Sus scrofa: one gene and its partner. The main gene of each other region encodes a partner of the protein of the gene in region 2 in a complex. Links are inferred from orthologs where the notes say so. Each region holds a gene or a part of one and is shown on either strand. Other genes may lie near its edges. The genes, in order: APLN and APLNR.

Region 1 (4,489 bases), on a different chromosome or scaffold from region 2:
CAGCTCTCAGACTCAGAAGAGCAAAGTGCATCCCAGGTCAGGAGGCAGCAGAGGAGTTGGTGTGTGTTGGTGCAGGTGCCTATTCCAAGTCAGGACAGAGCATGTTGCAGAGGAAGCACAGTTTTCAAGCCTGGAACTTTGACAGGGGACTGTGGCTGAGGACGGCATGCAAGCCTGCGCCAAGGGCAAGGTGGCACAGAAATGGCCCCTTTTTCTGGCCCAGGACAGGGGGCAGGAGGAGCAGGACATGTGTCCCCAGACCCTGGGCTGGTGGCTACCTGCATGGAGGTGTCCCTCCTCCTCGGCTCCAAGAGAGAGCAGGGGGTGGGGTGGGGAGGCAGGGGGAACTTTGGACATTTCCAGTGCCAGGGCTTGAGCAAAATGTGAGGGCAACAGATTTACCCAAAGCAGGCTGTGGGGACAGGTGACCTTACAAAAACTCCCGTCATGGCGCAGTGGTTAATGAATCCAACTAGGAACCTTGAGGTTGTGGGTTCGATCCCTGGCCCCGCCCAGTGGGTTAAGGATCCGGCGTTGCCGTGAGCTGTGGTGTAGGTCGAAGTCTCAGCTCGGTTCTGGCATGGCTGTGGCTGTGGCGTAGGCCGGGGGCTACAGCTCCGATTAGACCCCTAACCCGGGAACCTCCATGTGCTGCGGGTGTGGCCCTAGAAAAGACAAACAAACAAAAAAAACCCCAAAAAACCAAAAACAAAAAACTGGTGAAGTGAGGCAGGAAAAGGCAGGGCCTGGGCCAGACACAACGTTCCCTACCCTGGAAACCAGCTATCCCTTGACCAGGACCACCCCAACAGCTGGACCCTGGAAGGCTCCGAGTGGCGGTCAAGGGGAGCCAAGGTTCTCCCCGTAGGCTCTGGGGGAGCCCCAAGGGTGCAGATCAGGAAGGGCCATCTTCCTCTGGGACGCCCTCTCTGCACCCACTCTCTCTTCCCTGAAGGCACCACCTTGGACTATTTGCCAGCGGTGGTGTCACGTGGTGCCTGGTCTCGCCAACTGCACGGGATGGCATGCTCCCAGAGGGCAGACCCGTGCCGTGTCCTGCCTTCGGACCTTTCGTTCTCTTTCCACCATTGCCGGCCCGATGGGAGTTTGTGAGGAAAAGGCCTGCTCCCTTCTTACCAAGGACGTGGCTGCCCCAGGGCTTGGGCCCTGCGGAGAGAGACCACTGGACAGCTAGCTGAAGGCAGGTGGTGCCAGATCCAACCAATTCACCTTTCTGAGAAGCCAGGCAGAGCTCCCAGGGCCAGGGCAGTGCCAAAAGGCAAGAGCAGAGAGAGGAGGTGACCTACAAAGAGAGAAGTGGCGCCCCGCCAGGTCCCTCACAGGCTCCAGGGCTGTAGGACATCCTTCTGTTCTGAAGAATCTGGAACCAAGTAGCGCCCTGGGCCCTTCCTCTAAGAAACTTACTGTCCTGCTCTCTCCTTCCCCCTGCACCCCTCTTCCTGCGACTCCAGCCCTGGCACTGGCATTAGTCCCCCTGGTCCCCGCCTGCCTATTCTGCAGTGACAGCCAGATCACAGGACTGTGGCAGCTGGAGGTAAGAGCTGGCAGCCCCAGGAGACACTGACGCACGGAGGACAGGCAGCCCTGTCTGGGGCTGCTGGGGTGTGGGTGGGGACCAGGCCTGGAGAGGGTGAGGGAGCACGGGTGCCAAGTATGCCAGGTGGGGGTGTGGTGCAGGTGGGGGCGAGTTGCATGGAGGTGTCAGGTCGGGCGCTGCTTCCTGGTTTGGTGCCTGGAGACAGAGACTGAGGTCAAGCATGCCCATGCCTGGGGCAGAGAGGAGGCCGGGGCCAGGATATCGAAGAACCGAATCCCTGGTGGGGAACAGAGACTGCGAGGAGGGCCTTCTGCGTGGGAGCAGGAGAGCAGACCAGACAGGACTTGGGGGTAAGGGAGGAGACCAGCCTGGCCCGGCCCTGCCTGGCCCAGCCCAGGGGAGGCTGCCTCTGCTCACATGCAGGCTGAAAGGAGCAACAGCTGGGCTCCACGCCGCCGCCCTCGCCGCGCGCTCCTGCCTATGCAACAAGTGTCACGTCTGCATCTTGGCACATCATCCCCAGTGGCCCGCGCCCCCAGACCGGCCGGCGGCCCCTAACCGCTGGGAACCAGAAAACCTTCCACGCAGGAACCCAGCCCACCGGACTCAGGTCAGTTCCCTCCAATGATCCACCAGGGCAGCGGGACGTGCCCCCCCCCTCCCCGCACATGCTCTCCACCACGTGGGGTGCGGGGCGCCGGACACCGAGAACACGCCCGCGGCCCTGAGCTCCTCAGGATGCAAGGGGGAGCCAGGAGGGGTCGGGCGCCGCGGGGGTGATGCCCCAGGCCGAGCCGAGCACCCCGGAAGGAGCGGTGCCCGCGGCCGGCCGGCCCCTGGCCCCGGGCGCCTTGTCAGTCGGCCGCCCGGCGCGTGGCGGCTGCTGCACGGCTCGCGCCCGGCCCCCCGGGAGGCGGAGAGAGCGCGATCGTCGGGGCGGAGGGCAGGGAGCGCGCGGGCTGCCGCCCAGGCGAGCGGGAGGGCGCGCACTCACCTCCACACACCGCGCTCAGGGAGAGCCAGAGCAGCAGGAGCGCCTGCACGCAGAGCCGAAGATTCATGCTGCTCCTCCGGCCGCCGCCGCGCAGCCCTGGCCAGGGGGCGGGGGCGGAGAGGCCGGGAGCCCCGAGGCCGAGCGAGGCGCGAGCCGCGGCTTGTGCGTGCGGGCGCGGAACTCGCGTGGCTCCCGGGCCGCGAGACCGTGCGCCCCGAGCCGCGCCGCGGGCCGCTGGCCGGCCGCCTCCTCCTCTCTCCCGCAGCCTCCCTCTGCGCCGCGGGGCAGCGCCGCCCAGCTGGCCGCGGCGGCTCCGGGGGCGGCAGCGAGCTCTTTCCAAGTGGCTGACTGCTCGGCCGCGACTCCAACGGCCCGTGGCTCAGGCTGCCAGCGAGAATGCGCCCCGCTCACTCCAGGGGCTGCATTTTGTAGCCTGTGGCTTGGCCGCGAGCCCACTTGGTCATGTGGTCATCGGGAGGGCTGGAGGGGGGCCAGGAAGAGGGAGAGGGAGCGAGCCTCCCGCACCGCCCCCTCCCGGCGGCACGCACTAGGCAGCCCCAGCCAGGGCGCGAGAGGGAACCTCGAGGTGGCCCCACAACAAAGGCTGCGAGGCCGCTCCGACAGCCCACAACCGCTCCCCGGGACAATGCCCGCCTGGCCAGGGGCCAGAGGGTTTGGAGACCTGAGGGATTTCAAACACAGGAAGCATTTGGGGCAGTGGAGGGGCATATTTAACCCTTTGTCACCAGGCTTCCTTAACAGTTGTCAAGAAACCCAGGGTGCTGCCCCCACTCACCCGCCCTCCCTCTGATCTGGTCCTTTCCCACTGCCGCTCAGTAGCTGTAAGGACTTGGCCAAGACCCTCACTCATGGGCCCTCTGCTCTCCTCTGCATCTGGGTTTCAGTCCTGCCCAAGCCTGCCTAACTGCCCAGCGTCCCCATTTCTCCTTTCGCCGGCCCCCCCAGGAGACACCCTCTACCTGGAGTGCCCCCACCCCACGCCATCCCATTCTTCCGCTGAGTTCTTCAAGACTTAGAGCTGCGCCTCCAATCTCATCTCATTTCATTCAGAAGACTTGCCAGGATGACAGTAATCCAGGAGAGGCCGCCCCTGGGCTCCTCTTCACCATTGGGACATGCAACAGCTTCTATGGCATCCCCTCTCTTGCTCCCCATCATCATCAGAGGCCTTTTACCCAACTCCAAACAGTCTGGGCTGGATTCATTGTGCATGTACCCTTTGTAAGTGGGTCCTGAAGTTGCCTCCCTTCCCAGACCAGATTGTCAGCTCCTACAGCCTGGGGGCCCCCGACAAAAGAGACTCCGTCTTTCACGACGCTGGGAATCCCCTCAGATAGGACCTTGTCTCTTTATGCTTCTGCATCTCTCCAAAGTCCCCAGTATCGGGCTCTGCACATAGGTGGCACTCAACACATGTTAAAAGCCTAAATCAAAGGTGTTTCCACATTTCAGCCAGCCAGGCGGTTTGCTCAATATGCAAGCCCAGATTTCCACACAAAAAAAAAACACAGCCATGTGTATGGTGCCACCAAAGATAGGAGGGACCACAGTAGAGGTAGCGTATTTTTGAAATGTTAAAACAATCCAGTATAAGCACAATTTTTAAAATCAGTCTCCCTCCACGTTTGTCAGCTCCATAGCAGGGATCTCTGCTTTGTTCACAGCTGAATCCCCAGACCTAGGCAATGCCTGGGACATGGTTGGTGGTCCCTACATAATTTTGAAGATACACACGAACTTTTCGAAACCATTCCTATTGTGTATGTCAAGGTAGTGGGAAGGGAATAAATAGGGTTCTAGTTCATGGCCTATGGCCCCATTACCCCAGTCCAGTAGCGAAAAGGCGGAGAGGTGGGAGGGAGAGCACCTCGCTTCATTTGTGAGGCCCAGGCAGGGAACAGGGGGCATTAGCAGCC
Region 2 (4,317 bases):
CCATTGTGTCACAGCAGGAACTCCCTTATAAGCTTTTTGAATATGGCCAAGACTCATTTCCTGATTTAGTTTTATCCCACTCTTGCCTAACTTTCAATGGCTTCCGTCCCTCTTGGGGGTGCAATTTTTCATCTTTTCTTGTGCATAGCCGCCTTCTTCTTGCCCAGAGGCCCTGGGAGAGGTGAAGAGACAGGGTCAAGTCAGTTTCTCCGGGACTTTGCCCAGGGCATCTGCTCAGTGGCCTCTTTTTTCTGCCTCCCCCTTCAGTTATAACTTCCTGACCCCCACATGGTCTTATAGAAACTGCCTGATCCATGTAGGGCAGTAAAGACTTGAGGACTCAAATGTACATGTGTTCTCACTGCATAGTAATTCATAACCCGTTCTCCTATATATGAACTCCTCCTTTCATTCACTCCCTAACTCACCCACCTACTTACTCATCCACTCAACAACCATTTAGTGATCACTCACCACATGCCAGGCACCAGCTTAGGTGCCTGGAGAAGAAGAAAGGCAAACAGCAAAACCCAAACAAAATTTACCTTGCAACATAGGGAAGATGTTTACCTGCTTGGCCTCAGTTTCTCCCTAGATTAATGACTTGATTAGAGATCCTTTAAGCTGGGGTTTCTTTCTTCTGTGACTGTCTTCGATCCTCTAAAACGTCCTATGCCATCTGCAAACTGCACTCTACTTATGAATTCTAGAGAAATTCCTCTATAACCAGGTCTGTGAACCACAGAAATCCAGAGAGTCAGAGCCGAGGTGTAAAGAAGGATGATGTGGGGGGAGGGACACAGTGAAGCCTGGACTGGGTGGGGGCTGGGAGAGTGGGAGCTGGTGTGTGGAGGACAGACTGGCCTGCCTGGAGGGCTTGCCAGATGCTCAGACCATCCTGCGAAATCTCACACCCCCTACCCTCCCTGGCTCCGGCTCCAGCTGGATTTCAATCTGCATAATTTGTCCCATTTAGACTGGCTGGGAGAGGGTGACAACCGGAGGATGCAAAGGACAGGACCGAGGAACACCGGAGGAGACCAGAGGGAGAGGGGCTGGGCCCTGAGGAGAGCAGGCTGCGAAGCACAGATAACATTCTGCCCAGCACGGCAGGGGTCAATTTGGTCCACTTGCCCAGTGACAAGAAGGGAAAAAAAAAAAAAAAAAAAAAAAAAAAAAGTGGGCTGTAACTTCAAGATCTTAAGACTCACAAGTGAGGGGTTGGTCTGGAGGTGGGAGGAGGGAGGGACAAGCCAAGGAGGAGACAGAGACACAGGAGGGCGAGGAAGTGCCTGAGCTGAGGCTGGGGCAGGGCAGGAGGCGGTGGAGGGAAGCCTGGGGGAGTCAGGCGTCCTCCTGGGTCCTGGGGCTTCAGAGGCAGCTCCTCCTGCTGCCGGAAAAGGCTCCGGACACCTTCAGCCCTCCTCGCCTGCGCTGAGAGGCTCCAGCCAGAGGCTCAGGGTGCTTGCTGAGCGGGTGACAGCCACGGAGCTGGTACCCCGGGACCCCCTGCCCTGTCCTCTCTCTGCTCCCAGGCATGGAGGAAGGCGGCGATTTCGACAACTACTATGGGGTGGACAACCAGTCTGAGTGTGAGTACACAGACTGGAAGTCCTCGGGGGCCCTCATCCCTGCCATCTACATGCTGGTTTTCCTGCTGGGCACCACGGGCAACGGCCTGGTGCTCTGGACCGTGTTTCGAAGCAGCCGTGAGAAGAGGCGCTCCGCTGACATCTTCATCGCCAGCCTGGCGGTGGCCGACCTGACGTTCGTGGTGACCCTGCCGCTGTGGGCCACTTACACGTACCGGGACTACGACTGGCCCTTCGGCGCCTTCGCCTGCAAGCTCAGCAGCTATCTCATCTTCGTCAACATGTACGCCAGCGTCTTCTGCCTCACCGGCCTCAGCTTCGACCGCTACCTGGCCATCGTGAGGCCGGTGGCCAACGCTCGGCTGCGGCTGCGGGTCAGCGGGGCCGTGGCCACGGCGGTCCTGTGGGTGCTGGCCGCCCTCCTGGCCATGCCGGTCATGGTGTTCCGCACCACCGGTGCCATCCTGCACGCCGAGAACGGCACCAAGGTGCAATGCTACATGGACTACTCCATGGTGGCCGCCCCCAACTCCGAGTGGGCCTGGGAGGTGGGCCTGGGGGTCTCGTCCACCGCCGTGGGCTTCGTGGTGCCCTTCACCGTCATGCTGACCTGCTACTTCTTCATCGCCCAGACCATCGCCGGCCACTTCCGCAAGGAGCGCATCGAGGGCTTGCGGAAGCGGCGCCGCCTGCTCAGCATCATCGTGGTGCTGGTGGTGACCTTCGCCCTGTGCTGGATGCCCTACCACCTGGTGAAGACGCTCTACATGCTGGGCAGCCTGCTGCACTGGCCCTGCGACTTCGACATCTTCCTCATGAACGTCTTCCCCTACTGCACCTGCATCAGCTACGTCAACAGCTGCCTCAACCCCTTCCTCTATGCTTTCTTCGACCCCCGCTTCCGCCAGGCCTGCACCTCAGTGCTCTGCTGGGGCCAGAGCCAGTGCGGGAGCGCCTCCACCAGCAGCAGTGGGGAGAAGTCAGCCAGCTACAGCTCCGGCCACAGCCAGGGGCCTGGCCCTGGCCTGGGGAAGGGCGGAGAGCAGACGCAGGAGAAATCCATCCCCTACAGCCAAGAGACGCTCGTGGTTGACTAGGGCCAGGGATCCCTGGAGGCTGGGGTCCCCTGCTCCACCCCCCCGCCTTGGCCCTTGCCCTCTGAAGGTCGGGTCCTCAGGAGACCTTCTCTCTTGCACTTGACTCCATCACTACCCAACCCCCCGCCCTCCGTATGGTCCTTTCTCCCCCTTGATTCTGGTTAAGAGGTTTGTGGTTTAGTGGCAAGGAATTGAGCCCTGCAGACCCAGGCTTGGCCACTCAGTATCAGTGAGGTGGACCTTGCACCGGTCTCTTAACCTCCCTGAGCCTCAGTTTCTCCATTTGTATAAAACGGAGAAAATGAAATGATGGATGCATCTTGGCTCAATAAAAATTCATTTCCCCCATGAAATTCATTCTTTTTCTCTGCTCTCCAGTTCTTTTTTCCCTCCCATTTCCTTTTGGTGTTCTTGCCCCTCACTCTCCTTCTATTCCCGCCACTTCCCCCCCCACCCCCCCACAATTTTTACTCTGAATCTTTACCTTCTGCCTCCCACCCCCTCCCTCAGAATTCGTCCCTCTCCCTCAATCCCTCCTTCCCCCTTTTACCTCCTTGTTCTGAAGGGCTCCTAAGGGTTAAGAATCCTGAAGCTTGCAAACAGGGCCCCAGTTCGAGCTCTTTATCCTGTTCCCTGAGGGCCCCTAGAGGGAAGTAGGCTGGGTGTCTGCAAAGTTACCGCTCTGATCCTCTGCAGCCCTGCAAAGTTACTGCTCCAAAGTCTCTGCAGCTGGGAGCTCCGGGGCTTCCCTCCAAACTGGACCGGTTTGCTGTCATTTCGGGCATGGGAGGTGCAGTGGTCCGCAGAAGGGGGACTCCCTTCCTGCAGCCGCTGCCTGAGGCCAACTAGATATGCTTTCTACCAATTTCCTCAGAGCCTTTCATTCACCCTCTCTCCTCTGTGTGGGGGGGACTGGAAAGCAGTGGGTTTGATGAAGCAGCAGGCTCTTGGGTTTCATTGTACCATTGGGGAGTGGGGAAGGGAAGAGGGAGAAAGAGAGGTGTCTGTATTTAGTCTCCATGCTGCTTGGGTTCCCTCCCCAAATCCTCATTCCTCCACTTTCCTCCAGAACCGGGACCTGCAGGTCTCTCCCTGTCCCTCTACTGCATCCCGACATCGCCAGGACATTTTCCTTGGGCACTGATGTGAGTTGGTGCCAAGTCACTTTGGTGGGGGTGGGGACTTGCTTTGTGTGTGTATGTATGTGTTGGTGTGCATGAGCATAACGTGGAGGGCCGTGTGCCTGTGTCACCTGTCACTTGGATGAACACCCCTCCCCCACTCATCTCTGCCCTTCACACCGTATCCTTGAGGGAAGAAGGGACCTTCTGCATCCACCCCCCACTGGATTTGGGGGCTCTGACGGCTGGTCCGTGCTGTAAAAGAGACGTCTATGTTGGTACCCAGGCTTTCTGCAGGGAGAGCACTCCCCAAAGCAGCTCATGCCCAAAGCTGGGTGGTGGGGGGGTCCCTCTGCCATCTCAAGTTCCACGAGGGAAATGGGAGGCAAGTGAAGAGTTTCCCTTGGCCCCTTTCCCACACCTACCAAGCTTGCTTTGATTTTATAAGCTTTTCCCTCATCATTCTTTCTTTTTCCAGGGTCAGTGGCTTTCTCCCTGAGGTGGGGA

What was found.
Region 1: the proteins of APLNR (region 2) and APLN are in contact, whole or in part, in a cryo-EM structure (PDB 8XZG), measured with the Homo sapiens proteins. The link is inferred for Sus scrofa from reciprocal best matches to the Homo sapiens genes APLNR and APLN. Residues at the interface, in NP_005152.1 of Homo sapiens: Tyr35, Phe78, Trp85, Tyr88, Thr89, Tyr93, Ser106, Ile109, Phe110, Met113, Pro163, Val164, Arg168, Gln180, Cys181, Tyr182, Met183, Tyr185, Glu194, Glu198, Leu201, Gly202, Ser205, Tyr264, Lys268, Tyr271, Ser275, Cys281, Asp284, Leu285; in NP_059109.3 of Homo sapiens: Arg66, Pro67, Arg68, Leu69, Ser70, His71, Lys72, Gly73, Pro74, Met75, Pro76, Phe77.

The regions. Positions count from the first base shown.
Region 1 is NC_010461.5:106,243,633-106,248,121, forward strand, and holds the start of APLN (apelin), read right to left. Parts: upstream 2,932-4,489; 5' UTR 2,620-2,931; coding exon 2,553-2,619; intron 1-2,552. UniProt on the Homo sapiens protein: Peptide hormone that functions as endogenous ligand for the G-protein-coupled apelin receptor (APLNR/APJ), that plays a role in cadiovascular homeostasis. Functions as a balanced agonist activating both G(i) protein pathway and beta-arrestin pathway of APLNR.
Region 2 is NW_018085198.1:67,079-71,395, forward strand, and holds the start of APLNR (apelin receptor), read left to right. Parts: upstream 1-1,235; 5' UTR 1,236-1,537; coding exon 1,538-2,689; 3' UTR 2,690-4,317. UniProt on the Homo sapiens protein: G protein-coupled receptor for peptide hormones apelin (APLN) and apelin receptor early endogenous ligand (APELA/ELA), that plays a role in the regulation of normal cardiovascular function and fluid homeostasis.